3 linked regions of the Callithrix jacchus genome follow. The protein of the gene in region 2 purifies or fractionates together with the protein of the main gene of each other region. This does not show direct contact. Links are inferred from orthologs where the notes say so. Each region holds a gene or a part of one and is shown on either strand. Other genes may lie near its edges. The genes, in order: ANAPC2, ANAPC7 and ANAPC16.

Region 1 (9,723 bases), on a different chromosome or scaffold from region 2:
TCTGCACACTGTGGGGTGAGGATGGGGTGCCCCTGTGCGGTGCCTTCTGGGACACACGTGGGTGGGGGCTGGCACAGGAGGAGAGCACCTGCAGGGCAGGGCTGGGCGGCGGATGGATGGGCAGGTGGGCAGGCGCGTCAGCCGCAGTTCTTGGGCAGGCGGTAGACGCCGGCCGAGTAGACGAGCTGCTGGTCCCGCACCTTCTTCTGCAGGTAGCCCTGCAGCTCCTGCAGGTCGATCTCAGCCAGCGCAGGCCCGGTCACCACAAACATGCGCAGCATGTTGTAGATGCGTTCCAGCGAGAGGCTCTCCAGGTTGGTCAGCATGGCCTGGATGTAGGTCCAGAAGAGCTGCACACACCGGCCAGCCCCCGTCAGGTGCCCACTGGGGCTGCTGCTAGGCACAAGCAGGCCTTCACCCCACCCCGCCGCACCCCCACCACCCCACCCATGGGCCCCGCACGCGCACCAGCAGCTCCTCCTCCTTCTGGTCTGCCTGGGAGGCCATGCCCGAGTCGCTCTCGTCATCACTGTCGATGAGGACCATGCTGTCCCGGTCCTGAGGCCGCTCCTCCTCGATGACAGAGAAGGTGCCAGGGGGCTCCTCTCGCAGCACACCCTGCTGTAGCCACACAGACATCCTCCGCCGCAGCAGTGCCACGGGCATCTTCACCGCCTTGCTCAGCTCCTCAAGGGTCCAGCTGGCTGCATGAAGAGTGACCAAGACCCTGGGCAGCCTGCAGATGGGCTGCCCCTCCCCTGCCTCCTGTCAGCCCAGAGGTCGGAGGCCCAGACCCCCCCCACCTTGCCCGTGGGAAAAGTAAGGGTGCTGCCTGCTGGCTTGGCTGCCCCAAACCACACCCTCACTGGGGAGCAACCCCTCACCCATGGCAGGGCCGTGGGGCCAGAGCAGACCAGCTGGGGGCCGGTGGACTCACCTTGGTCCTGAAAGTACAGCAGAACCACCGCCTGTACCGGGGTGACTGCCACAGACAGTGTACGGTCAGCCAGCTCCACGTCCATGGTCACCAGGCCCAGAGTGTGCTTCCAGCTGAGGGTCCGCATGGCCTAAGGAGGGCTGGGGTCAGTGTGGGTGGCTCGGCTGCAGGGGGCCGAGGCTCATGGGCTCTGCCATGTGGAACCGGGTGACGAAGGGCTCTCAGAGCTGCCTGCCCCACCCTGCCCCCGGCAGACAGGTGAGCAGCGGGAGCACAGGACTGGGTGGGCCCCACCTGCTCAGCTACCACAAAACAGCAACGGGGCCAGTGTCACAAGATGTGTCCCGGAAAAGCTTTTTGTGCATCCTAACCCCCCCGTGCTTGGAAACGTGGCTGCACTGGCAAACAGTGGACAAGGTCACACTGGCGTGGGTGCAGCCTAATCCAACTGACTGGCGTCCTTTTTTTTTTTTTTTTTTTTTTTTTGAGACGGAGTTTCGATCGTTACCCAGGCTGGAGTGCAATGGCGCGATCTCGGCTCACCGCGACCTCCGCCTCCTGGGTTCAGGCAATTCTCCTGCCTCAGCCTCCTGAGTAGCTGGGGTTACAAGCATGCGCCACCATGCCCAGCTAATTTTTTGTATTTTTAGTAGAGATGGGGTTTCACCATGTTGACCAGGATGGTCTCAATTTCTTGACCTCGTGATCCACCCACCTCGGCCTCCCAAAGTGCTGGGATTACAGCCTTGAACCACCATGCCCGGCTTGACTGGAGTCCTTCTAAGGAAAGGATGGATGACGGAAGACACGGGCGGCGGGAGGGGTCACATGAGGACAGAGGCCGACGAGCCACGCGGCCACAAGCCAGAAAACACCAAGGGCTGTGGCAAAAGCCAGAAGCTGGAGGGCAACAATCTCTTAAGAGGTTTCTGGGGGAGTAGGGCCCTGCCAATACCTTAATCTTGACTTCCAGCCTCCAGAACCAAGGCAGTTTATTTCTGTTTTTTTAAAGCCACCCAGTTTGTGACACTTTGCTACAGCAGCCACAAGAAATAAACAGATTTTGCTACCAGGAAGGGCGCTGCTGAAACGTGACACCAGGAATGGACCCCCTAACAGGTGCTTCTAGTAAGGTCTAGGGCAGAGTGAGCGCGCTGCTGTGGCCGGAGGAGGCAGCAGAGAGCCTGGCGGGCTGGTGCTCTGCTGCTGGATGGAAAGTGGGGCTGCAGTTGATGAGCCTGAAGGCTCAGCTGAGATTTACAGGCAGCGTGGAAGGTGAGGCCTGGCTTCTCCTTGCCACTTAATAGCAGAATGCAAGAGGGAAAAATCAGTGAGGACGGAAACATTAAGCAAAAAGGCACCAGCCCTTGGAGATTTGAAAAATGCTCTGATGATCCAGGCAGCTCTGAGACACAGCTAAAGCTGTGGCTGGACCAGGATTTGCAAGAGATGAGGTGTGATTTGCACATCCAACCGTCTCAGCAGGAGACGGGCAGGTGGGGCTCCAGGTAAGGGCCGCAGGGGGCCTGGACACTGGTGAACTGCACAAGAGAGAAACCAACGAGGTTTGTGAGAACTTTACCAGCAGAAATGCTGCCAGGCTGGACTGAGAGGCAGGCAGGCTCCAAGAGCAGAGCCGCCGACGCAGAGGCCAAGGCTGACGGGGTGGGGCTGACCCCGCAGGCCAAGGGTGGAGCACTGAGCCCAGGATTCGCAGGCCGTGGCATCAAATTGAATTTGGCTGCTGGGTTTGGACTTGGGGTGACCTGCCACCCTGTTTCCTTCCAGTTTTCCCTATTGGGGTGGGAAGAGACATTCTATGCTTGTCTTACCGTTGAATTTTTGAAAGAGAGCATCTGCTGCCTGATTTCACAGCATCCAAGCTGGAAAGGAACGGACACACCCCAAGTCTCACCTGGACCTCATTTAGTTGCTATTTACATGCTGAGATGTGGGACTTCGTGTGGATGGTATTTAGATGAGATTTTGGACTTGGACTTGAGGCTGAAATGGTGAGGACTTTTGGGAATACTGGGTATAATTGTAACTTGCATGTGGGAGGGCCCACCATGGGGCAGATTGTTGTTATGTGCCCCTCCAAAAAAGACACATGAACTGCTAACTCCCTGAACCCCGGATGTGATCTTATTTGAAAATATGGTCATTAAAGATATAATTAAGATGAAGTCACCCTGGAGTAGAGTGAGTGTCCAAGAGGGGGATACAAACAGAACAGGGGAACACTCCGGGCGACGCAGCAGAGACTGGACCGAGCCATCCACAAGCCCCGGAGCTCCTGCAGCCCCCAGAGAGCTGGTAGAGGCAAGGAAGCAGCCTTCCCCTAGGGCCTCCAGAGGGCCCTGCTCACCCTGACCTCTATAAGATGATACATTTCTGGTCTTTTAAGCCCCTTGGTTTGTGGCACTTTGTTCTGGTGGCACCAGGGCACTGACACGCCTGCTCTGTGGGCCACAGGCTCCTAAGCCCTTCCAGGATCTGGCAACTCTTTTTTTTTTTTTGAGACGGAGTTTCGCTCTTGTTACCCAGGCTGGAGTGCAATGGTGCGATCTTGGCTCACTGCAACCTCCGCCTCCTGGGTTCAGGCAATTCTCCTGCCTCAGCCTCTCAAGTAGCTGGGATTACAGGCACGCGCCACCATGCCCAGCTAATTTTTTGTATTTTTAGTAGAGACGGGGTTTCACCATGTTGACCAGGATTGTCTCGATCTCTTGACCTCGTGATCCACCCGCCTTGGCCTCCCAAAGTGCTGGGATTACAGGCGTGAGCCACCCCGCCAGGCCAATCTGGCAGCTCTTAAAGGAAACGAACCCCACTTTACGGACAGAAGATAGAGGTGGAGTCAGTGGTTGGCCTTGGTCCTGGCTCTGGCTCCAGGGCCGTGACCTCCACGAACACCACTCATCAGCCTGCACCAGAATGGAAGAAGGGCTCAGGAGCAACAAGCTCAGGTGCAGATGCTGAGGGCTGCATGCCAGCCATGTGCCCAGTGAGCTCAGGTGCAGATGCTGAGGGCTACATGCCAGCACATGCCCAGCAAAGTGCCTAAGGTACAGATGCAAAGGGCTGCATGCCAGCCATGTGCCCAGCGAGGCCCCTAGGCCAGGAGCTCTGCTAGTGGGACCTCTCAGCACAGCCCGGCACCTTCCTGAGCCATCCTGTATCCCGTGAAGTGAAGACAAAGGGCACTGGAGTATGGCTGCCCCAGGACGTCAGGCCCGAGGAATGGGAAGTGGCTGAGCCACACTTGGGATCCCAGGGGGACCCTGGAGGGAGGCCAGGGGAGCCTCGCCCAGAAACAGCACTGGAGAGCCTGAGGCAGCCAGAGGGTCAGTGGGAGAGGGACTGTGCATGGAGCCCGGCCACACCAATGACTTGTACCAGAACATGGCAGGGCGGGGGGCAGGGGGCGGGGGAGGCTCGGTGCCCGCAGACTCTGGAGACACAGGCTGGAGCTGGAGGTGGGGGGATGGCCAGGGCCCTCCTTTCCACCGGGGCAGGCAAGCTGCGGGGGATACCTGGACTCTTCCAGAGCCAAGCTGAGGCCTGGAGGGAGGCAGCAGGCACTCGCCACCAAGATCAGCAGCCTGGCCCAACCTCCGCCTCCTGCCCCGGGTGCCTCTACCTGGCCCTCCCCTTGTCTGTCTCTGCAACTTCCCCCTTAGTTTCTAAAGTGGACTCATCACCTTGCCCTCCCCTAGGAATAAGCTTCCTTAGTCTGTCAACACAGCAAGGCCCTCTCACTTGGCAGATAAAAAAAGGAAACACATCTAGACCCAGCGTCTGTCACAGCAGGCCTGGAGAAGCTGGGGACCCTCCTTTGAACTCAGCCCCACCTGCCGGCCTTGGCCCAGGCTGCGGCTGGCCCATCTCCCTCCTGGGGTTGGGGTCTGCAGCCTGGAAACCAGCTTTGCCCCAGGACCCTCTCCTCACGTGTCCCCTGCTGGGGTGCTCAGCTCCCCCCAGGCCTGAGCATTCGCTGGGCACACCGGAGGCCTCACGGGCCCCACACACCAGACTGAAAGCCCTGGGACCTGGCTGCACAGGGGTCCTAACCTCTTCCCTCGACCCAAAACATCTCACCTGAACATGAGCTCAGGGAAAAAACCTCCAAGCGTGGTCCCATACCCAGGGCCCTGGATACCTGTTCTGGGACTGCTGGGATTGGTGGTGCTGCCAGGAGACGTGAGCCAAATACGGCCGATACCACCACTCTGGGCACGCTGGCCCCACTTGCCAGCACCTCCAGGCCAGGGCTCGCTCCTCCAGTCCCCACGTCTGCTTCCCCCCGACTCCCACCACAGTCCCACAGCCCTGGTCCTCAAGCACCATGGGAACCTGCAAATGCAGTTCTCCGGGAAATATCTAGAAACAGGGGCAGGGCTGGGGCCCCAGGGTCAGGTGCGCTTGGGAGCGCTGCCCTGGGCAGAGGGTGGCCCTGGCTCCCTGGCCCTCACCTGCAGTGACACAAGGCACCCCAAGTCCTGGTTCTGAGAGGCAGAGGGCAGATGGCAGAAGAGGAGGAAATGCTCAGTGGGTGCGGCCTGCTGGAGCCACGGGAGTCCCCGTGAAGCAGCACAGGAGATGTGGGCCTAGCACAGCCCACCCGAGCACCTGTGGGGCCGAGGGACGCTGGCTCACAGGGGGCACAGGCTCACTGTGAGGAAGGCAGAGGGAGTGTGGACTGGGCCCACTCCATCTCCTGCAGGGATGGCTGTGAGACATAACCAACCCTAGACACTCGGGAGACAATGGGGTGGCCATAGGCACCAGGCTGCTGAGCCCGCAGCACAGGGTGAGGTGCAGAGAGCCCTGTGGGGTGGCTGGCTTGGAGGTACCTTGAGCTGCTCGTACTTCTTGCAGTAAGCCTCCAGGGCTGCCCTGATGTCCTCAGGGACCTCCAGCTTCTCATCCTTGAAGGGCGGCCAGAACTCACTGGACAGGATGACAGCATAGACCCCGAATGGCGGCTGCTCCTCCACCGGCCGCTTCTCGTCCTCCTCCCGGATGTTGGCATTGATGCGGCGGGAGTCCGCCATATCCTGAGGGAGGAGCTGGTGTCACGGGGGCCTGGGGGTGGCGGGCGGTGGGCGAGGCGGGACCCACCTTCAGCATGACCTCGCAGAAGTGCATCGGGGCCTCGCCAAAGCGCAGCTTCAGCAGTTCTACGTTGCGGATCTCCCTGGAGAGACGAACCAGTGTCTGGGCGGGGGTCGCAGGGGCTGCAGTCCCAAGCAGCACCTGTAGCAGTCATGGGTGCACCTCCCGGGCAGAGCAGGGGGCCTGCGTGGCACCCCGGCGGCCAGCTCAGCCCCAGCCAGGAGTGGGGGTGGCACACAGTCCAACCAGGCCCAGGCCCTGTCCTGACAGGCTCAGCAAGGGCCCCAGCACCCCTGGAGACGGCTGGCGCCTCCCTGGCCTCACCGCTCCGGGCTGAAGCTGAGCTGGTGCAGTAGGCGGTCGGCCAGCAGCGAGCGGTACTCATTGATGAACAGGTCCTTGCTGCCGTAGATGCTGACCAGCAGGCTGATAATGTCTGAGGAGCGCCGCTTGGAGCTGGACTTCCCTGGCACAGCGGGGGCAGGGGTGTCACCTGATAGGCACCTTGGCAAGGATAGGGCACCCCCCTCCCATCCCACCATGCCCGAGGCATAGCCCAGCATGGCTTTTCCTGAAGGCCCTCGAGGCTGGGAGCAGCCCGGCACCTCCCAGGAGACCAGGAGTCGCATCCTAGGGCAGCAGCTTCGATCCCCAGCCCCTCCCGTCTCACAGGGACCTCCCCGGACCCTCAAGTAGGCTTAGGGTACAAGCCACAGGTTCTGGGGTTTTCCTCTGAGGAAGACTAAAGACAGTGAAGACTTACCATCTGGGCCAGGGCTGGGGCCAGGCAGGGGTCCCACAACTCTCAGAGCTCCGCACACTGCGGCCAGGGACAGATGGGCCCTGAGCAGTAGCTGTCACCTAACGGGACTCTGAGGCCCACACCAGCAGCGGGTGCAGGGGCCATGCACGTTTTCCTTCACTCCTCTGCCAGATGTCATGGCGGGGCAGGGGACACCCCACAGCTCACAAGGGGCGGAAGGAAGGGCACCTCCCATGGCTAGAGTGACCAGCCACAGAGGGACATAGCCCACCCTGGGCCTGCCCAGGCCGGCGGGGGTGGAGCACTGCCCTGACCTTGGACCCCTTCAAGCCTCTGGGGCACTGGCCACACGTGACACAACCAAGCTATGCGGCCAGAGAGGAGCCCAGAGTGGCTGGCCTAGCCGAAGCCTCCATCCATTGGCGAAATGGATGCTGTGGGGCAAGCTAACCTGGATCAGCGTCCACGGGGTCTGGGACCCAGTCCTCAGGCTCGCCCGAGTCATCCTCACTGTCCTGGCCCGTCTCCAGGCTTGCTGGGTCAGTCTTGGACAGCTCAATGGCCAAGTCCCCCGTCCCGTCCGAGTCCCCCGTCAGCCCGGCCACGATCTGCCGCACCGTGTCCTCCCGCGTCCTGCCGGCATGAGCACTGCTGTGGCCCATGGTATGGATACCCCACATGCCCCTCCCACTGCCCACGCCAGCCCCGCCCCGTCTAGGCCAGCACCACCACCCCTGCCTCTACAGCCACCGATGACGAGCTGTGCACTAAAGACAGGCCTGTCAGACTCCCTGAAGAACGAACCCGGCGCTACAGGTTCGGGTTCGGCGCTACAGGTCCTGGGAAGCAGGAGCTGTGAGGGCAAGGCTAGCCTGTGTGCCCACAGGCCCAGCTCTGTGGCACACTGAGGCAGGACGGCTTGAGCCCAGGCAGGTGCCCAAGGCTGCAGAGTTGATTCTGCCACTGCACTCCGACACAGTGAGAGCCTGTCTCAAAAATAGGAAAAACTTTAGAAAAAGAACCAGCCCAGAAGCCAGGCCCATTACAGCCACAAAGCAGCGAACAAGTCCAGACAGGCGCCGGAGTCCCAGTGGCTCCTGCTGCTCAGGCCTGGGGCCGCGGGGCCTCTTCGACTCCCGAGGAATTTCCAGGCAGCTGTGGCAAGGCCCTCATTCCAACACATTCTCCACCGAACAGCCCGGGGAGTGCCTGCTCCTTGCCGTGGAAAAGGCTGGGACGGACAAGGAGAATGGGCAAGGAGAGCCCATTCTCCTTGCCTGGTTGGCGCGTGGGGGCCTGGTCAGCGCCAAGGCAAGGCTGAGCAGATGAGCTTCTCTCTGTGCTGAAGAAGGGGAGGCCACGGAAGGGCTGCAGGGGGGCCTCTGGTAGCTGCACACAGAGGGGACGGTGACACCATGTGACAAGGACAGGTGCCCAGCACAGGCAAGAGTAAAGGAAGGAGCCCTGGGCCTGAGCCCGTACACTCAGCCCAGCTGGGGGAGACCTTGTATCCTGAGGGCCAAGCACACCCTCCGCTGCCCCCAGGACCACCGGGAGCTCAGCAGGACACCTGGGGTCCCCGTGGCTCCTGGGCCAGCTGCAGCCCTCACCTCAGGTAGCGGCGGATGGGCTCACAGGCCACCTCCAGGATGACCATGGAGGGATCCAGCACGCGCAGCGCCTTGATGGCAGAGATGTAGAGGGTGATGATGTCACACGTGTTGACGCCTACAGCCGGGGAGATGCCGGTGGTCATGCAGTGCCTCCCAGGGGCCAACGCCTGAGTGGGCTGCTGGCCACACCGGTCAGGTTGTCTACAGATCCCTGCTGCAGCCTCCTTTCCCAGGAGACCAATATGACCGCAGAAGCTGCTCCCCTCGTCTGCCCATCCCCCCATTCCCCCATACCCCCGTCCCAGCCTCTCCCTGCTCACAGGCCCTCCCTGCTGGGTAGTGTGTTCTGAGAGAACCAGGTCTCAACACCCCAGACCACCTGGCCAGTCCCAACTCCCTTCAAAGAAACAAGCAAGCTGACGGGTACCCCAGATCCCCTAAGCACCCCACCAATAGCTTCTCAACCCATTTCTTCCTTAGACCTGTAAGTCCAGGGCTAGAGACTGGGTCCCCAGCTCCCTGGACAGGAGCCCCCTGGTAGTGTCTGAGCCCTGAGGGCCAAGCAGTGGGGCAGCAGCAGCCAGCACACAGCACCTGGATGCAGCAGCCGCGTCTCCAGGGCGGCCTTGAGGGACACGAGCAGCTGCTGCCTCTGGTCTGTCCTCTCCAGGCAGTACTTGAGGTCCTCGATGGCTGGTCGGGAGTCTGGGAAGTCTACAAGTAGAGGGACATGCCTCAGGGACAGACACGGACACGTGCACATGTGGGGGGCTCGCCAGCCCTGGGACGAGGAGACTACCCACTAGACCCAGACGTCCCCCCAACATTTTGGCGTGCTGATGCATTTGACCAGAATGCCACAGGGTGGACACAGTGACAGCCAGGGGCCAGTCCCCAGCAGGAGCCAAGGCTGAGGGACCACAGGAGTAGACACTTAGGAGCACCACCCAGTGTTTGCCGCACCTGCCCGGATCCAGACACGGGGATGCCTGCAGAGGGAAGGGTACCAGCCCTGCAAGCGCGACAGGCAAAGGTGCAGGGAACCCAGACGTGGACAGGAGAAGGGACACAGCGAAGGCCCTGGGAGGGTACCCCAGACGGGAGAGTGGGTGGACCTCGGATGATGCTGAAGAGCTCCTCGATGCGCAGGCTGGCATAGATGCGGTAGAAGAACCTCTGCACATGGCAGCGCCAGCGGCGCAGGGTGTTGCCCGCCTCGGGAGATGCGGGCCTGGAGGGGCTGTCCTGCAGGAACACCTTGCCGAGCCAGCCAACCACCCGCTCGATCCACT
Region 2 (9,823 bases):
TGCCTCCCGGGTTCAAGTGATTGTCCTGCCTCAGCCTCCTGAATAACTAGGATTACGGGCACACGCCACCACGCCCAGATAATTTTTGTATTTGCAGTAGAGACAGGGTTTCACCATGTTGGTCAGGCTGGTCTCAAACTCCTGACCTTGTGATCCACCCACCTTGGCTTCCCAAAGTGCTGGGATTACAGGTGTGAGCCACTGTGCCCAGCCAACTGCTGGTTATATTAACAAACTATGACTGACAGACCAACTGTCTCAACAAATATCACCATTTCTTTTAAGCTACTTGACTGTCATTTAAAAGAATACCTAATGAAAAAGTCAGGCTGGGAGCGGTGGTTCATGCCTGTAATCCCAGCATTTTGGGAGGCTGAGGCGGGCGGATCATGACGTCAGGAGATCCAGACCATCCTGGCCAATATGGTGAAATCCTATCTCTACTAAAAATACAAAAAAATTAGCTGGGCATGGTGGCACACGCCTGTAGTCCCAGCTACTTGGGAGGCTGAGGCAGAAGAATCAATTGAACCCAGGAGGCAGAGGTTTCGGTGAGCCAAGATTGTGCCGGTGCACTCCGGCCTAGCAATAGAGTGAGGCTCTAAGAAAGGAAGAAGGAAAAAAAAAAAGAAAGGAAGAAAGGGGAGGGGAGGAAAGAGTAAGTTACTTTTAAAACAGATCCTCATTTAAGAACATCAAGGCTGGGTGTGGTGGCTCACACCATTAATTCCAGCACTTTGGGAGGCTGAAGTGGGAGGATCACAAGGTCAGGTGTTCAAGACCAGCCTGTGCAACATGGTGAAACTCCATCTCTACTAAACAGAAATACAAAAATTAGCTGGGCATGGTGGCACACACCTGTAATCCTAGCTACTTAGGAGGCTGAGGCAGGAGAATCACTTGAACACAGGAGGCGGAGGTTGCATGAGCCAAGATCACGCCACTGCACTCCAATCTGGGCGACAGAGCAAGACTCCGTCTCAAAAAAATGAATAAAAATTTAAAAAAATTAGCTGGGTGTGGCAGTATACAATTGTAATACCAGCTATTTAAGAGAGGTGGGAGGACTGCTTAAGCCTGGGAGGTTGAAGTTGCAGTGAGCCAGGATCACACCAATGCACTCTAGTCTCGGTGACAGTGAGACTCTTAAAAAAATATTAAATATATATAAAAAAAAGAATAAGCATTTGTAGTATTCTCCAGCTATCATTTTCATCAGCTGAATTTTCAGGATATCATAGAAAAGTCATTCATCTCTCTCTGAACCCCCACCCCTACTCCATGAACAGAGGAAGAAAATGAGAATTAGAGTCATGGGTAAAATGTTTACATGAATTTGAGAAAACACGGAGCGAACAGGGTTAGGAGGGCTGAGGATAAAAACACATAAACATTCAACTTACTTTGGGAGTTCTTTGTCTTGAAGGGATCCCATCAAGTATAGCAATGGCATCTTTATCTTGTTTTAGCATTGTATAGCATTCTGCCATTTTGTATTTCACTTCAATTTCAGATGGAAGACACTAAGAGACAATGAAAACATCTTTTTGAAACATTATTCCAATAGTATGACAGTTCTTCAAAACATTAAATATAGTTATCATATGGCCCAGCAACTGTTTTTTGAGACAGGGTCTCGCTGTTGCCTAGGCTGCAGTGCAATGGTGTAAACATAATTTACCACAGCCTTGACCTCCTAGTCTCAAGCGATCCTCCCACCTTGGCCTCCTGAGTAGCTGGACAACTACAGGTGTGTGCCAACACGCCCAACTTTGTAGAGACAGGGGTCTCAAAATGCTGAGGCTAGTCTCAAACTCCTGACCTCAAGTCTTCCCACCTCAGACCACAGGTGTGAGCCACTGTGCCTGGTCTCATCTTCTACATCTAAACGGCTATCGTCTAAATCAGTGGTCCCCAACCTTTTCGGCAACAGGAAGACAATTTTTCCACAGATGGGGGGAGAGGGGATGGTTTCAGGATGAAACTGTTCCACCTCAGATCATCAGGCATTAGTCAGATTATCATATGGAACACAAAAGCTAGATCTTTGCATGCCTAGTTTACAATAGGGTTTGTGTTCCTATGAGAATCTAATGCCACAGCTGATCTGACAGGAGGCAGAGCTCAGGCAGTAATACTTGCTAACCCTTCACCCACCTCCTGCTGTGCAGCCTGGTTCCTAAGAAACCAGACACTGGGGCCTAGGGACCCCATTCTAAATTCTGAGACGTTCTCAAAAAAAAAAAAAAAAAAAAAAAAAAAAAAAAAAAATCACACAATCCTATCTTCAATTACCTGACTCTGTGGAGTAGATGCAGAATTTCCAGTTGAAGGTCTCACTTTTGAAGTTTTACTTAGGGCTTTTTTCTGCTGTAAAGCCATGGTATACTTACTCACAGCATTCCGATATTCCTTATCATGAAAGAGAGAATCTGCATGATACACCAAAAGCTGGTACTTCTGAGATGGGGAGAATAACTCACTAGAAAACAAAGAAAGTATATCCCCTACATGGGTTATTTTGAAATTTTAGAAGGAACACTGTTAGTGTCTACATAAGCCTAGCACAAAGCCTTGTATAATGACAGTTTACAAAAGAGTCAATGTACGTCAAGTGCTAGTCCCTAAAGAGGCATGAAAGGTGGAAGCTGAACTCTGTGCTAATATGATAAACATATCTATTGTTCAATACAATTTTTCTTTACTTAACATAAAAGCAATGATACCTATGAATCAAATGCAGTAGGAGGTACATAGAGAAAATGTAATACATCTTTTCTTCCCCTTCAATCCAAGGCCGCTGCCGTTTTTTTTTGAAACGGAGTCTTATTCTGTCACCCAGACTGGAGTGTAGTGGCACAATCTTGGCTCACTGCAACCCCCACCCCACAAGTTCAAGCTGTTCTCCTGCCTCATCTCCTGAGTAGCTGAGATTACAGGCATGTACCACCACGCCCGGCTTTTTTAAGTAGAGACAGGGTTTTGCCATGTTGGCCAGGCTGGTCTCGAACTCCTGAGCTCAGGCAATCTGCCCATCTCGGCCTCCCTAAGTGTTAGGATTACAGGCATGAGCCACCATGCCCAGCCTGAACAAATGTTTTAAAACTTGAGTATTTAGTCAAGAATTGTAAGTGAGCCGGGCGCGGTGGCTCAAGCCTGTAATCCCAGCACTTTGGGAGGCCGAGGCGGGTGGATCACGAGGTCAACAGATCAAGACCATCCTGGTCAACATGGTGAAACCCCATCTCTACTAAAAATACAAAAAATTAGCTGGGCATGGTGGCGCCTGCCTGTAATCCCAGCTACTCAGGAGGCTGAGGCAGGAGAATTGCCTGAACCCAGGAGGCGGAGGTTGTGGTGAGCCGAGATCGCGCCATTGCACTCCAGCCTGGGTAACGAGCGAAACTCCGTCTCCAAAAAAAAAAAGAATTATAAGTGACTAGAAGTTGGTCACTATTTCTAATGTGGAACTCATATTTTCAATTCCAATCTCATTCCTTCCCAAATAAAAGAAAGTAGTTTGCTGTTTTTCTTTTTTTTTTTTTTGAGACGGAGTCTTATTCTGTTGCCAGGCTAGGGTGCTGTGGCATGATCTTGGCTCACTACAACCTCTGCCCTCGGGGTTGAAGCAATTCCCCTGCCTCAGTCTCCCAAGTAGCTGCGAATATAGGTGTGTGCCACCAGGTTTGGCTAATTTCTCTTGACCTCATGATCCACCTGCTTCGGCCTCCCAAAGTGCTGGGATTATAGGTGTGAGCCATCACAGCTGGCTGAAGTTTACTGTTTTTCTTTGACAAGTAAAAACTATAGCTGCTTATAATGAAAGAACAAAGTGAGTCAAATAATTCTGTAGATAGTTAATTTCTCCACAAGCTAGGCACAGTGGCTCACACCTGTAATCCTAACACTTCAGGACACTGAGGTGTGAAGATTGCTTGAGCCTAAAGTCTGGTCAACATAGTGAAATCCCACCTCTTAAAAAAAATACAGGCACCGGCTGGACATGGTGGCGCATATCTGTAATCCCAGCACTTTGGGAGGCTGAGGCAGGTGAATCAGAAGGTCAAGAGATCAAGACCACGGTGAAACCCTGTCTCTACTAAAAAATACAAAACTTAGCTGGGCGTGGTGGTGCACGCCTGTAGTCCCAGCTACTCGGGAGGCTGAGGCAGGAAAACTGCTTCAACCTGGGAGGTGGAGGTTGCAGTGAGACTGTGCCACTGCATTCCAGCCTGGCGCCTGGTGACACAGCGAGACTCTGCCTCAAAAAAAAGAAAAAAAGTTATTGCCTCTGGAGAAATGGTGGGGTGAGGTTCAAGACTCAGGGAAAGATTCTGATCTGCATGCCCCTTCTCCACTGTTTGAATTTAAGTGTCTACTGACTATTCCACAAGAAATTTTAAAGTATAAATTATGAAGGTCAGAACTTAAACATGTCCTGAAACTAGGAAACTGCCCATCTAACCTAGTATGAAAAAGCATGGGCTAAACTTGGTCTAGCCAGAAAATTAAACTGTTTCAAACTATCCTGTAACATCTTTGAGAACTAAGAGTAACTGGGGCCTACTAAGAGTAACATGGAAACTGTATGGTTTGACAAATCACTCAGAACCAAGAGAAAGACTCCGGGATAAACACAGAAGGCTGACCTAGACCAGGGCTCCTGTCAACATGAAGTGGATGTTGGCAAAATGATGGGTCTCACTAATGAGGTACAAAACACACTAATGAGGCCAGGCTAGGTGGCTCACGCCTGTAATCCAAGTACTTTGGGAGGCTGAAGTGGGCGGATCACTTGAGGTCAGGAGTTTGAGACCAGCCTTACCAACATGGAGAAACCCCGTCTCTACTAAAATTAACAAAACGAGCTGGGCAAGGTGGCGCTGGCCTGTAGTTTCAGCTACTCGGGAGGCTGAGGCAGGAGAATCACTTGAACCCGGGAGGCAGAGGCTGCAGTAAGCTGAGATCGCCTCACTGCACTCCAACCTGGGCGAGAGATGAAAATCTGTCTAAAAAACTAAAAATAAATAAAAACAAAATAGAATAGCCAGGGAGGCTGAAGAACAGTGAACAGAGTAATGAGATGAAGTTGCAGAGAGCGGAGGGCAGATGTTTGCCTTCAGAGGTCACGGGAAAGAATTTTCATGTGTGTAACAAAGGATTTTAAGCAGAGGATGGACATGCAGAGGCTGGAATCAGCCCCATGCTTCATGGATACGAAAAGGTGCCACGCCCACCCATCAAAGGAGTCTCCCGTCACTTTGTTTCTTATTTTACTTTTGACACAAATCTTGCTCTTGTCCCCAGGCTGGAGTGCAGTGGCACTATCTTGGCTCACTGCAAACCGCCTCCTGGGTTAAAGCGATTCTCCTGCGTCAGACTCCCGAGTAGGTGGGATTACAGGCGCCCGCCCACCACACCTGACTAATTTTTGTATTTTTTTAGTAGAGACGGTTTTCACCATGTTGGCCAGGCTGGTCTCGAATTCCTGAGCTCATGATTCTCGGCCTCCAAAAGTGCTGGGATTACAGGAGTGAGCCCCCGCGCCCAGCCCTGTTTCCTTTTATTAAGACAGGCTGTCGTTGTGTTTCCCACGCTAGGGAGCAGTGATGCCATCACAGTTCACTGCAGCCTCGACTACCTGGGCTCTAGCGCTCCTCCTGCCTCAGACTCCCGAATGGCTGGGACCGCAGACGCGCACCACACCGGCTAATTGTTTAATTTTTGTTTTTCGTAGAGGCAGGGTCTCCCTATGCTGCCCAGGCTGGTCTTGAACTCCTGGGCTCAAGCGATCCTCTCGCCTCGGCCTCCTAAAGTACTGGGATTAGAGGCGTGAGCCACCGCACCAGGCCCCGTTTTCAGGGGTTTCCCAGGGCGAGAAAGTAGATCCTCCTGACACACTTAACGGGGGGTACCAATATCAGACGCGGGGCCAGGACATCAAAACCAGGAGGCTGGGTCCCTGAGTTGCAACGAGAAAAAAAGTTCTTCGGGAAGGAGCCAAGAAGGGAGGATTCAGCCTAGCGATTTGACAGTCGCGCTGCCCCGCGACAGGTGCCTCGGGAAACCCTCGCCAGGGTCGTCCTCAGAGCCTCCGCCCTCCATTTCTCAAAGCCGCCGCTCGCCAACATCCCCGCGGAGAGCTGACGCCGGGGCCCTGCAAAAACGCCGGCACCCAATGAACTCAACTTGCGCTCCGAAGTCCGCTCCGCTCCACGAGGCCCTTCGCTGACCCCGGAGCCTCCGCTGGCGCCGGCGGCCGCTCCTTCCCGCCTGTTCCCACGCGCCCTCAGCCCGCGCTCCCAGACCGCCGCCGCTTTCTCCTCAGCCCCAGGCCGCTCCCCGCCTCAACTCACGGGTTGTTATTACTCATTGTAAGTAACAAGCTGCTGAGGAGCCGCACGTTCGAGTGCAGCCCCGCGGCCGCCATGTCCCGCACGTGGTCTATCACATTCATCCTGCCCTGCAAGGCCGCGGGCAGCGGCGGCAACTGTGACTAGAAAAGCCGGTAGAGGATCCTTAGGGAAAACTCCAAAATGGCGGCGGCGTCGGGGTCCATCGGGTCCACACGCGGCACCTCCCCCAAGTAAGAGGTAACTACTGAAGTGCCCGTATAAAAAGAAACTCGAATTTCTACTCCCGTCGTGGTTCCTTTCAGGTGGAATGAGTTGTGAGTTTTACGTAAAAACTACGTCACATCCTAAACTGCAAACTTTACTGCGGATTTACAATGAGGCAAAAGGAACCTTATAAGACTACTCGGTCAATTTGAATGCGTCTGAGAGGAATTTGTGCCTCTCAGACATTAAAATCTGTGGGCATGTACCAGAAATATATTAATGGTGAGGAAAAAAACGCTGCAACTGGAATGAAATATTCTAATCGGGCGCCAGGGACAGACCTAACGGCTTTTACAGTTGCGCATGCGCACCAGGCAGGGGCCGCCGCGCCCCTCCTCAGATGTTTTGTGTCACAATCAGGCTTGTCGCCTAGGGTGAACTCCTTGTTTCGAGGGGCATATTTTACCCTATGAAATGACTCCCTAGATCCGTGGAAATAAAGGCTGGATCCAGGAATGAGCTGATACCCCTATAAACCAGCATGTGCCTAGCACAGTTAACGTTTTACAGAAGTTTTACACGAGTTATTGGATGTTCACAAGCCAATCCATAAAGTCGAAGTTGTCATTCCCTTCTCACAGGGCAAGAAACCGCCTGCTTAAATGTTGTGCTCAGGTTGTTAAATGGTTGACTTGGAATCCCATCGAGTGGTTAAATATGTTGCATCGCAAAATCAAGTGTATACAGGGACCAAGGAGGTAACAGCGAATGAAGCAGAGTCCGAATATTCTGCACAATCACCCTCTCAGATATAGCCTGTTGCTCCTTTCTTGAAGGAGACAGGCGTTTTGGTCTATATTTTGTTTTCGTTTGATTTTTACAGTAACATGCAAAGAAATGCTATAAAAAAAAATCACAGTGTATCTTCACCAGTCAACTTTTTCAGTTCTTACATTTTGTCACAGTCGAAGCTCTGCAGATCCTTTTCCCATCTCATCCCCTACTCTCGTTTCCTGGATGTAACCTTCAATTTGCTTTTGGTGGACATCTTTTTTTTTTGAGACAGAGCCTTCTCTGTCACCAGGCGCCAGGCTGGAGTGCAGTGGCACAATCTCGGCTCATTGCAACCTCCGCCTCCTGGGTTCAAGCAATTTTCCTGCCTCAGCCTCCTGAGTAGCTGGGACTGCAGGCGCGAGCACCAGCTGATTCTTGTATCTTTTTTAGTAGAGACGGGGTTTCACCATGTTGACCAAGATGGTCTCGATCTTTTGACCTTGTGATCCGCCCGCCTCGGCCTCCCAAAGTGCTGGGATCACAGGCGTGAGCCACCGCGCCCAGCTGCATCATTTTTTTTACTTTTTTTTTTGCGACAGAGGTTCGCTCTTGCTGCTAAGGCTAGACTGCAATGGACCAATCTTGGCTCAACGCAACCTCTGCCTCCCGGGTTCCAGCGATACTCCTGCCTCAGCCTCTCTAGTAGCTGGGATTACAGGCATGCGCCCCCACCCGCAGCTAATTTTGTATTTTTTGTAGAGAAGAGGTTTCTCCATGTTGGTCAGGCTGGTCTCCAACTCCCTACCTCAGGTGATCCGCCCGCCTCAGCCTCTCAAGGTGCTGGGATTACAGGGTGAGCCACCGTGCCTGGCCAAACTTTTTTTTTTTTTTTTAAGATGGAGTCCCGCTCAATCACCCAGGCTGGAGATCAGTGACGCGATTTTGGCTCACTGCAACTTTCGCCTCCCTGATTCAAGTTCAAGAGATTCTCTTGCCTCAGCCTCCTGAGTAGCTGAGATTACAGGCATGTGCCATCAAGCCTGGCTAATTTTTGCATTTTTAGTAGAGATGGGGTTTCACCATATTGGCCAGACTGGTATTAAATTCATTTAGGGTCTGGAATTCCTCCGTGGAAGAAGCAGTGGGCTGACCTGAGGTGATCCGTCCACCTGAGCCTCCGGAAGTGCTGGGATTGCCACCGCGCCCACATTTGGCCACTTCTTCAGATTTCAGATTCTTGTGTAGCACCTCCCCCCGCCACCCCGTACATGTGAAACGAACAAAATTTGTACACTTTTCTCTTGTTAATCTTTCTGGTGTCAGTTTGTTTTCTAGATCCAGCTCAAGAACCCACTAAGAGCTAAAAGAGGGGTTGGATGTGATCTCTGGCTCCCTTGCAGCACTGTACAAATGTTTGCTATTACACTTTTTTTCTAAAACCATATCTATGTTCACAAAAATGGAAACAATTCAAATGTTCATTGATGAACAGATAAACAAAATGTGGCATATTCATACAATGAACACCATTTTAAAAAAAACAAACAACATGAATGAATCTCAAATATATGCTAAAAATAAAATTATGCTAGGCGAAAGAAGCCAGACTAGAAAAGTTTACATAATCTGACTCTATTTGTATGAACTTTCCGGAAAAGACAAACTGATAGAGACAGAAAGTAGATCAATTGTTGCTCAGGGTAAAGGATGGAAATGGGAGGGTCTACAATTGGATAGGAGGGGTCTTTGTGGAGGTGATGGAAATGTTTGAAAACTGGATTGTAATGATCAATGCATTACTTTGTAAATTGGCAGCTAAATATCATTGAATTGTATGCATAAAATAGGGGAAGTTGATTTTACATAAAATATACTTCTACTTTGGTAGAAGTATAATTTTGCAATAAATAAATTTATTTTTTTTTTGTTCAGATGGAGTCTTGCTCTGTCACTCAGGCTGGAGTGCAGTGGTGCTATCTTGGCTCACTGCAACCTCCTCCTCCCGGGTTCAAGCAACCCTCCCACCTCAGGCTCCTGAGTAGCTGGAATTATAGGCACCCACCACCATGCCCAGCTAATTTTTGTATTTTTAGTAGAGATGGGGTTTCACCATGTTGGCCAGGCTGGTCTCGAACTCCTGACCTTAAGTGATTTGCCTGCCTCAGCCTCCCAAAGTGCTGGGATTTTAGGAGTGAACCACCACCCCCAGCCGAAATAAATTAAAAATTTTTTTTTTTGAGATGGAGTCTCAGTCTCTTTTTTACCCAGACTGGAGTGCAATGGCATGATCTCGGCTCACCACAACCTCTGCCTCCTGGGTCCAAGCAATTCTCCTGCCTCAGCCTCCCCAGTATCTGGGACTACAGGTGGGCACCACCATGCCCAGCTAATTTTTGTATTTTTAGTAGAGACAGGGTTTCACCTTGTTGACCAGGATGGTCTCGATCTCTTGACCTCGTGATCCACCCGCCTTGGCCTCCCAAAGTGCT
Region 3 (9,723 bases), on a different chromosome or scaffold from region 2:
AATCTCTTCCATTTAGAAACTAATCAAACCCTTTGTAACACAGCAAGTAGCAATACATCAGCTTTCCTCTTAAGGGAAAAGCAAAGGTTATAAACAGGGAAAAGTTCAGTAAATTGCCCAAATCTAACACCATCACCAACTCCAATAAATAAGGATGGTAGGCTGGGCACGGTGGCTCACGCCTGTAATCCCAGCACTTTGGGAGGCCGAGGCGGGTGGATCATGAGGTCAAGAGATCAAGACCATCATGGTCAACATGGTGAAACCCTGTCTCTACTAAAATTACAAAAAATTAGCTGGGCACGGTGGTGCGTGCCTGTAATCCCAGCTACTCAGGAGGCTGAGGCAGGAGAATTGCCTGAACCCAGGAGGCGGAGGTTGCGGTGGAGGTTGCGGTGAAGGTTGCGGTGAGCCGAGGTCGGGCCATTGCTCTCCAGCCTGGGTAACAAGAGCGAAACTCCGTCTCGAGGAAAAAAAGATGGTAACAAATACATTAAAAAAATTACCTCACAGTAGGAAATTAGACAATGCAGACAATTTATGCTTCAGTGGCTTACAATGTCACAAAAATATGGCCACTAGTGGGCTGGGAGGCAGTCTCTAACTTGCTCACTAATAACGGGGTGAAGACAATTTTGGCCAAGGGCAGGAGAATGCTGAAAACTGCTATATACTGCTTATGTGAGATGTTCGTTATCAGAGAGCAGATGCACAAAAAAGTTAATTCACAAGGTTAACTACAGGTAATCTGGTTTACTATCCTATACTCATGAGATATAACAACAAGTTGAACCTGTTGAGATTAAAAACAGCATCTGGCTGGGCACAGTGGCTCATGCCTGTAATCCCAGCGCTTTGGGAGGCTGAGGCAGGTGGATTAGGAGGTCAGGAGTTTGAGGTCAGCCTGGCCAACATGGTGAAACCCCGTCTCTACTAAAACTATAAAAATTAGCTCGGCATAGCAGCAGGCACCTATAATCCCAACTGCTTGGGAGGCTGAGGCAGGAGAATCGCTTGAACCCAGGCAGCAGAGGTTGCAGTGAGTCAAGATTGCACCACTGCACTCCAGCCTTGCAACAGAATGAGACTCCATCTCAAAAAAAAAAAAAAAAAAAACCAACAAAAAAAACCCAGCATCCATCCTTGATTCCTAACTACTTTTGTTCCTTACCTTACTCTTGACAGGTAACCCTTCTTGCTCTATTTTCATATTCTATTAAACTATTATTGGTCAGGTACATGTGTGTTAGATTAATTGTATAATAGAATAGTATCACCTATAAACATGGTAGCAAATCCAATATCTTCATGCACATTTAAGAGTACTCTTTTCAACTTAATATTCTTGATTTGACTAAGAATATTAAAGCAAAATAATCCAATATATAATTAAGCTTCTCTATGTTATTTTTCACATTTTTAAGTTTAAGCAGCTTTAAGATTATTGGTAAAACTTGAAATCTAAGAATCAAAACTGGGCACTGTGTATTTACACTTAATATAAATGTATCCTACAACAGAGACCCAACACATTTCTCCATGCATGAAGCATATTGAGATGGAATAAAAATGGATAGCTCTATAACGCATTAGAACATCAACATTCAGACTAATCTCAGAAGCCTTTCTTCTTCAATATCTCCCCACAATTTGGTGTATACTGACAAAGAATGCTGATAGCTTTGAGACTGTGGAGGTGCCTCCTGTATTAAATTCCTCTTATAGCTAGAACTTAAATGACTTTAATCTTAGAGCTCCATTATTGAATACTGATTCTTCTGCTGCTATAAAACTCATTAAGCAATTTAAGTGTCTTCCACTTTTGTTTTGTGGGAAACTTCCTTAATACTAGGTCTCTGCTACTACATATAAAAGAAGTCATAATATAGTTTTAGCACCAAATATGGTAAACAGGGCCCCAGTTCTTCACTACTTCCAACCAGACTCAGTGATACTAACTTGAGTATTTAGGTAACACAATTAAAAAGGCAAAGAGCAAAGTATATGTATCACTAATTACATACACTACCTGGTCATCTACTGGCTTAATTCAAAACTCTTTTAATTATTTCTGATTATTCATCACCCCCAAGGCCAATATATCTTATATCTATAGTTTATATCTTTTTTTTTTTTGAGACAAGAGGCTGGCGTGCAGTGATGTGATCATAGCTCACTGCACCTCTTCTTCCCAGGCTCAGGTGAACCTCCCACCCCATCTTCCTAAGTAACTGGGACTACAGACATATGCCACCACACCCAGATAGTTTTTGCATTTTTTTCTAGAGACAGGATTTTGTTTCAAACTCCTAGGTTCAAGCAGTCTGCCTGCCTCAGACTCTCAAAGTGCTGGGATTACAGGTGTGAATCACTGGCCTATAGTTTGTATCTTTTTCACAGATATTCCTAGTTTTAAAATATATTTGTGTAAATTTGCAATATTAAGGCCGGGCACGGTGGCTCACGCCTATAATCATAACACTTTGGGAGGCTGAGGCGGGCAGATCACTTGAGGTCAGGAGTTCGAGACAAGCCTGGGCAACACATGGAGAAATCCTGTCTCTACTAAAATTACACAAAAATTAGCTGGGTGTGGTGGCGGGCGCCTGTGATCCCAGCTACTCAGGAGGCTGAGGCAGAATTGCTTGAACCTGGGAGGCAGAGGTTGCAGTGAGCTGACATTGCACCACTGCATTCCAGCCTGGGCGACACAGTGAGACTCGTCTCAAAAAAAAAAAAAATTTGCAATACTTAAAGCAAAAAAGATCAATATATAATTAAGCACTAAAATGCTAGAATCAAGTAAATTTTGAATCTTTAATAGGCTCTTTCCCAATGCTTTTTTTTGAGATGGAGTCTCACTCTGTTGCCAGACTGGAGTGCAGTGGCACGATCTCAGCTCACTGCAACCTCTGCTTCCTGGTTTCAAGTAATTCTTCTTGAGGCAGGGTTTCACCATGTTGACCAGGATGGTCTTGATCTCTTGACCTCGCTCATGATCTGACTGTCTTGGCCTCCCAAAGTGTTGGGATTACAGCCGTGAGCCACTGTGCCCAGCCTCCCAATGCTTTTAAAAAATTTATTATTTTTTTGAGACAGTTTCATTCTGTCACCCAGGCTGGAGTGCAATGGCATGATCATAGCTCATTGTAGCCTTGAACTCCTGGCCTCAAACAATTCTCATGCCTTGGATTCCCTGCCCAAAGTGCTGAAATTACAGATTTGAGCCACCATTCCTGGTCCCAATGTTTTTCAAAATATGAAAGACTGCCTTCAAGAGAAGGCCCTGGATGCTGGTAAAAGATGCATTCTTGAGCTATACTGTAGAGTAATTCAGAAGCACTAAGGTGGGCCCAGAAATATGCATTTTATTTTTATTTTTGAGAAGGAATCTCATTCTGTCCCCTAGGCTGGCGTGCAGTGGTGGGATCTTGGCTCACTGCAACCTCCGCCTCCCAGGTTCAAGTGATTCTCCTGCCCCAGCCTCCCAAGTTGCTGGGATTACAGGCACCTGCCACCATGCCTGGCTAATTTTTGTATTTTCAGTAGAGACAGGATTTAACCATGTTTGCCAGGCTGGTCTTGAACTCCTGAGCTCAGGTGATCTACCCGTCTTGGTCTCCCAAAGTGCTGGGATTACAGGTGTTAGCCACTATACCCGGACAGAAATGTGCATTTTAAATAAGCTCTTTGGATGATTTTTATGCTCCTGTGAAGAATTATTTGTGTAGCTCTTCAAGTAACATGCTTATAGCCTGTATAGCCGGCCAGTGGTGCTGAATAAGATGGTGAAAGATTTGATGTAAATCTGGCTCTGGGGCTAAAAAAACCACATAGCATCATCCTGCGGTGGGTCAGGAGTCATGTTCACATAAAAGGGCAATACATTAGCTTTTATTTCCTCTTAGAACCTTCCTGACAGGGTGAATCTATCTGTAGATCAGTCCCACTAGAAAAATATACATCAAACCTACTACCATGGGGAGGTAGACAGGTGCCAGGATAAAGCAAACTCGAGTAGGAGGTCAAGAGAATTCCTGGTTTCAGTGCTGACTCTGCCTTTTTTTTTTTTTTTTGGAGACAGAGTCTCACCCTGTCACCCAGGCTGGAGTGCAGTGGCACGATCTCAGCACCTGGCAACTTCTACCTCCCAGATTCAAGCCATTTTCCTGCCTCAGCCTCCCTGGTAGCTGGGATTATAGGTGCGTTCTACCAAGCCCAGCTAATTTTTATATTTTCAGTAGAGATGGGGTTTTACCTTGTTGGCCAGGCTGGTCTCCAACTACTGGCCTCAAGTGATCTGTCTGCCTCGGCCTCCCAAAGTGCTGAGATAACATGTGTAAGCCACCGTGCCCAGCCCTGACTCTGCCTTTAACATGGTCAAATCACTTAACTTTTCTGGATCTAAATAACTCTAGATGACTTCCTTGATTTCCAAAGTCCTTTTCAGCTCAAAAATTCTGATTCCAGAGCAAGATTTGTTTTTGTTTTTTTTTGAGACGGAGTTTCGCTGTTGTTACCCAGAGTGGAGTGCAATGGCACATTCTCGGCTCACTGCAACCTCCGCCTCCTGGGTTCAAGCAATTCTCCTGCCTCAGCCTCCCAAGTAGCTGGGACTACAAGTGTGCACCACCATGCCCAACTAATTTTTGTATTTTTAGTAGAGACGGGGTTTCACCTTGTTGACCAGGATGGTCTCGATCTCTTGACCTCGTGATCCACCCGCCTTGGCCTCCCAAAGTGCTGGGATTACAGGCGTGAGCCACCGCGCCTGGCCGCAATATTTGTTTTTAAAGATATTTTGAGATGGGGACAAGAGATAAAATATGGGGCTGAAATCAGGACAAACTAATCTTTAATCCACTTAATAGCTTCTTTACAATTAATATTCATTGCAGGTCTGAATCCAATTATTCGGAAAGCAGCATGAGATCACCTTCTAACATTTCTCCAGCTCCTTTGGGGTAGGTGAAAAGGGCTTTCCGTGGTGGGGCAAGGTCTGAGACACTGAAACCAGATCCAGTGACAGAACTTCCACTGACACCACCAGCTGAGGAGGAGGAGGATGAAGCAGCCATTTCCTCTCTAGTAGAATTCTTACTTCACTACAGAGAAAAAACAGCAATTGGTAAGTTTATGGAAGTGAGAGTGACATTTCATTTTAGCTGCCATAAGGGCCAGCATACAGTTTTGTTAAGAGTTAGCTCCGCTTTTTTCTACCCTCTCTACTTTCACAATCTTTTATTGATGTCTCAGGCCAAAATGTCAGGTTTTGAACTGAAAATACGCTTAAGAATAGTATGTACACTTAAAACACAAATTCCTACCATTAGCAAACAGTTTATGTCAACTGAGATCAACTGTGGGTGATTTATGAGTTATGAAGAGGTGGTATGGCAGCAATAAAGCAGAAATTTGACAGAAAAAATAAGTTATATGAGGATAAAACCACCACACTTCACAGGACAGTTTGTTTTGGATTCATCCTGATCAAGCCACATCAAGAAATTCACCTATAATATTTTCCAAATAAAATTTAAGAATAACACTGTGTTCTGTTCCCAAGGAAGGGGAACTAGTTAGGAAATATATCTTGGCCTTCTCATTAAAAATTAATCTTTTGGCCAGGCGCAGTGGCTCACGCCTGTAATCTCGCACTTTGGGAGGCAGAGGTGGACAGATCATCTGAGGTCAGGGGTTCGAAACCACCCTTGCCAACATGGCAAAACTCTGTCTCTTACTAAAAATACCAAAAAAAAAAAAAACCCAAAAAACCCCCCAAAATTAGCTGGCCGTGGTGGCAGGCACCTGTAATCTCAGCTACTTGGGAGGCTGAGGCAAGAGAATGGCTAGAACCCGGGAGGCAGAGGTTGCAGTGAGCCAACATCGTGCCACTGCACTCCAGCCTAGGTGACAGAGCAGGACTCGATCTCAAAAAAAAAAAAAAAAAAAAATTAACCTTTTCATCCAAATGTAATACCCAAATTTATCACTTGGTGGCGTCCCAAAACTGGAACAAAAAAAAGTTCAGAAAATGATCTTGGAAATCAAAGTCTAGTATGAACAGAGCAGCTGTATTTAATCGTATTTCACATAAAAAATTCAAATGTTAACAAGAAAACTGTACTGAATACATGACACCTTACGAAAGTTCAAAACAAAACACTCCCTTTACCACAGAAGCTTACAGGACTTTAACAATAGATTCTAAAAAGTGTTTACAGTATTTTCTTTCCTTTTTTTTTGAGACGGGGTCTTGCTCTTGTCCACGCTGGAATGCAGTGGCATGATCTTGGCTCACTGCAACCTCTGCCTCCTGGGTTCAAATGATTCTCCTGCCTCAGCCTCCTGAGTAGCTGGAATTACAGGCAGGAGCCACCATGTCCAGCTAATTTTTGTATTTTTAGTAGAGATACGTTTCACCATGTTGGCCAGGCTGGTCTCTAATGCCTGACTTCAAGTCCTCCGCCCACCCTGGTCTCCCAAAGTGCTGAGATTACAAGCATAAGCCACTGTGCCCCGTCTCTTTCTTTTTTTAATTAGAGATGAGGTCTTGCTATGTTGCCTACTTTGGTCTTTAACTTCTGGTTTCAAGTGATCCTCCCACCTTGGCTTCCCAAAGTCTCACTGTGCTGAGCCCTCAAAAAAGTGTATATAGTGGCCGGGTGTGTATATAGATCACCTGGGATCAGGAGTTCAAGACCAGCATGACAACATGGGGAAACCCTGTCTCCACTAAAAATACAAAAATAAGCTGGGCGTGGTGGCACATGTCTGTAATCCCAGGTACTCAGGAGGCTGAGGCAGAAGAACTGCTTCAACCTGGAAGGCAGAGGTTGCAGTGAGCCGTGATCGTGCCATTGCACTCCAGCCTGGGCAACAAGAGTGAAACTTCATCTTAAAAAAAAAAAGTGTATATAGTATTTTTTAAAGAAAAAATGGCTGGGTGTTGTGGCTCACACCTGTAATCCCAGCACTTTGGGAGGCTCAGGCGGACAGTCACCTGAGGTTGGGGGGTTCAAGACCAGCCTGGCCAACATGGTAAAACCCTGTCTCTACTAAAAATACAAAAATTAGCCAGGTGTGGTGGCAGGTGCCTGTAATCCCAGCTACTCAGGAGACTGAGGCAGGAAGGGCGATAGAGCCAGACTCCATTTAAAAAAAAAAAGAAAAAGAAAAAATGGTCTAGTGCCATGGTGTCTAATGGAACTCTCTGCCATGATGGAAAGATTCCAGTGTTCTATTTCTGCACTGCACAACATGGTAGCCACTAGCTTCATGTCGCACCTATAAGCTGGTGTGGCTGAAGAAGTGTATTTCTGTATTTTAAATTTTATTTAATGTTAACTAAAATTTAAGTTACCACATGTGGCTACTGGCTGCTGTAATGGATAAAGTTCTAGTATTTATATTAAAAATAACTTTATATTGAATTGTATACTTTAAGATGGCTAATAGTTAATTTTATGTTATGCAAATTTTAGCCTACTTAAAAAAACTATTTCAAAAAGGATTGTAGGCCGGGCATGGTGGTTTAGGCCTGTAATCCCAGCATTTTGGGAAGCTGGGATGGGCGGATTATCTGAGATCAGGAGTTAGAGACCAGCCTGGCCAACATTGAGAAACCCCATCTCTACTAAAAATACAAAAATTACCTGGGTGTGGTGGCAGACAACTGTAATCACAGCTACTAGGAAGGCTAAGGCAGAAGAATCACTTGAACCTGGGAGGTGGAGGTTGCAGTGAGCTGAGATTGTGCCAAAAACGGGGACTGTAAAATGAATATCCCTCTGAAATGGTCAGAGAGAATTTTAGCTGAGTTTTTTTTTTTTTTTGCTAGTCAAGTGAAGCAGTGGGAGTGAAAAAGGAACAAAGATATCTGTAGCGGGTTGTGATCAGTTAGTGTAACAACACTGCACCCAGACCAGCCTGAATACTTTTCATTAGCGCTTTTTTTGTTAGTTGGACATGAACATATTTATTATAAAAAGTTGAGGCTGGGCACAGTGGCTCATGCCTATAATCCCAGCACTTTGGGAGGCTGAGGCAGGTAGATCACGAGGTCAAGAGATCGAGACCATCCTGGTCAACAAGGTGAAACCCCGTCTCTACTAAAAATACAAACATTAGTTGGGCATGGTGGTGCGCACCTGTAGTCCCAGCTACTTGGGAAGCTGAGGCAGGAGAACTGCTTGAACCCAGGAGGCGGAGGTTGCGGTGAGCCGAGATCGTGCCATTGCACTCCAGTCTGGGTAACAACAGTGAAACTCCATCTCAAAGAAAAAAAAAAAGTTGAAATATATTTATTTTTTCTAGGGAGGTTCTCACTCTCTCACCCAGGCTGAAGTCCAGTGGCCTGATCATTGCTCATTGCAGTCTCAACCTCCTAGGCTCAAGCAATATTCCAACCTCTCAACCTCCCAAGTAGCTGGGACCACAGGGGCATGCCACTATGCCCAGTTAATTATTTTTTTTTTTTTTTTTACTTTTGGTGGAGACAACTTCTTACCATGTTGTCCCCAGGCTTGTCGGGAACTCTTGGGCTCAAGCAATCCTCCCATCTTGGCCACCCAAGGTATCGGGATTATAGGTGTGAGCTACCATGCCTGTCTGAAACTTTTCTTTTCTTTTTTTTTTTTTGAGACGGAGTTTCACTTTTGTTGCCCAGGCTGGAGCGAAATGGTGCCATGTTAGCTCATTTAACTTCTGCCTTCTGGGTTCAAGTGATTCTCCTGCCTCAGTCTCCCGAGTAGCTGGGATTACAGGCATGCGCCACCATGTCTGGCGAATTTTGTATTTTTAGTAGAGACGGGGTTTCCCCATGTTGGCCAGGCTGGTCTTGAACTCCCAACCTCAGGTGATCTGTCCACCTCAGCCTCCCGAAGTGCTGGGATTACAGGCATGAGCCACTGCACCTGGTCATGTTTTTTGATAACAGAAAAGAGTGAGGGAATAAAATACAAATATATATATATATATATATATATATATATATATATATATATAAAATCCAGTTTTCTAGTAATGAAAATGATATAGTATGTCTTGAAACATTGGCTGTTTTGTTTGCTTAATTTTGTGATGATGATTTAAAGCTGTTAGAGAAGCAGAGCTTGGTTTCTGATTTCATTACAAGTAACACTGATTAATAGTGAAGTGGGATATGGGAACAGTAAAGCAACTACTATAACTAGACTGTCAGCAAAAATGCAAATTGAAGCCAGGCGCAGTGGCTCACGCCTGTAATCCCAGCACTTTGGGAGGCCGAGGAGGGCGGATCACGAGGTCAAGAGATGGAGACCATCCTGGCCAACGTGGTGAAACCTTGTCTCTACTAAAAATACAAAAATTAGCTGGGTGTGGTGGCACATACCTGTAGTCCCAGCTACTCAGGAGGCTGAGGCAGGAGGATTGCTTGAACCTGGGAGGTGGAGGTTGCAGTGAGCTGAGACCGTGCCATTGCACTCCAGCCTAGTGCCTGGTGACAGAGCAAGACTCTGTGTCTCAAAAAAAAAAAGCAAATTGATTAATGATGTTTTCTTTTTTCGAAGACAGAGTCTTGCTCTATTTCCCAGGCTGGAATGCAGTGGCATGATCTTGGCTAACTGTAGCCTTGACCTCCTGAGTGCAAATTATCCTCTTTCTTCAGCCTCCCAAATAGCTGGGACTACAGGTGTGTGCCATCACACCCCATTAATTTTATTTTTTGTAGAAATGAAGTTT

Evidence for each region.
Region 1: the proteins of ANAPC7 (region 2) and ANAPC2 fractionate together in Homo sapiens (co-fractionation; 6 studies listed by BioGRID and IntAct, with this or other methods). This does not show direct contact. The link is inferred for Callithrix jacchus from reciprocal best matches to the Homo sapiens genes ANAPC7 and ANAPC2.
Region 3: the proteins of ANAPC7 (region 2) and ANAPC16 purify together in Homo sapiens (affinity purification with mass spectrometry; 6 studies listed by BioGRID and IntAct, with this or other methods). This does not show direct contact. The link is inferred for Callithrix jacchus from reciprocal best matches to the Homo sapiens genes ANAPC7 and ANAPC16.

Annotation. Positions count from the first base shown.
Region 1 is NC_133502.1:185,587,006-185,596,728, forward strand, and holds part of ANAPC2 (anaphase-promoting complex subunit 2), read right to left. Parts: intron 9,722-9,723; coding exon 9,547-9,721; intron 9,146-9,546; coding exon 9,026-9,145; intron 8,547-9,025; coding exon 8,429-8,546; intron 7,452-8,428; coding exon 7,270-7,451; intron 6,522-7,269; coding exon 6,380-6,521; intron 6,138-6,379; coding exon 6,062-6,137; intron 5,998-6,061; coding exon 5,794-5,997; intron 3,124-5,793; exon of another isoform or gene 1,068-3,123; coding exon 938-1,067; exon of another isoform or gene 705-937; coding exon 469-704; exon of another isoform or gene 351-468; coding exon 138-350; 3' UTR 1-137. UniProt on the Homo sapiens protein: Together with the RING-H2 protein ANAPC11, constitutes the catalytic component of the anaphase promoting complex/cyclosome (APC/C), a cell cycle-regulated E3 ubiquitin ligase that controls progression through mitosis and the G1 phase of the cell cycle.
Region 2 is NC_133510.1:113,299,961-113,309,783, forward strand, and holds the start of ANAPC7 (anaphase-promoting complex subunit 7), read right to left. Parts: upstream 6,542-9,823; 5' UTR 6,458-6,541; coding exon of another isoform or gene 6,357-6,457; 5' UTR 5,617-6,356; coding exon 5,462-5,616; intron 2,508-5,461; exon of another isoform or gene 2,483-2,507; coding exon 2,296-2,482; intron 1,524-2,295; coding exon 1,404-1,523; intron 1-1,403. UniProt on the Homo sapiens protein: Component of the anaphase promoting complex/cyclosome (APC/C), a cell cycle-regulated E3 ubiquitin ligase that controls progression through mitosis and the G1 phase of the cell cycle.
Region 3 is NC_133513.1:57,940,026-57,949,748, forward strand, and holds part of ANAPC16 (anaphase-promoting complex subunit 16), read right to left. Parts: intron 9,504-9,723; exon of another isoform or gene 9,498-9,503; 5' UTR 9,374-9,497; intron 8,274-9,373; exon of another isoform or gene 8,151-8,273; intron 5,129-8,150; exon of another isoform or gene 5,106-5,128; 5' UTR 5,079-5,105; coding exon 4,937-5,078; exon of another isoform or gene 4,899-4,936; intron 1-4,898. UniProt on the Homo sapiens protein: Component of the anaphase promoting complex/cyclosome (APC/C), a cell cycle-regulated E3 ubiquitin ligase that controls progression through mitosis and the G1 phase of the cell cycle.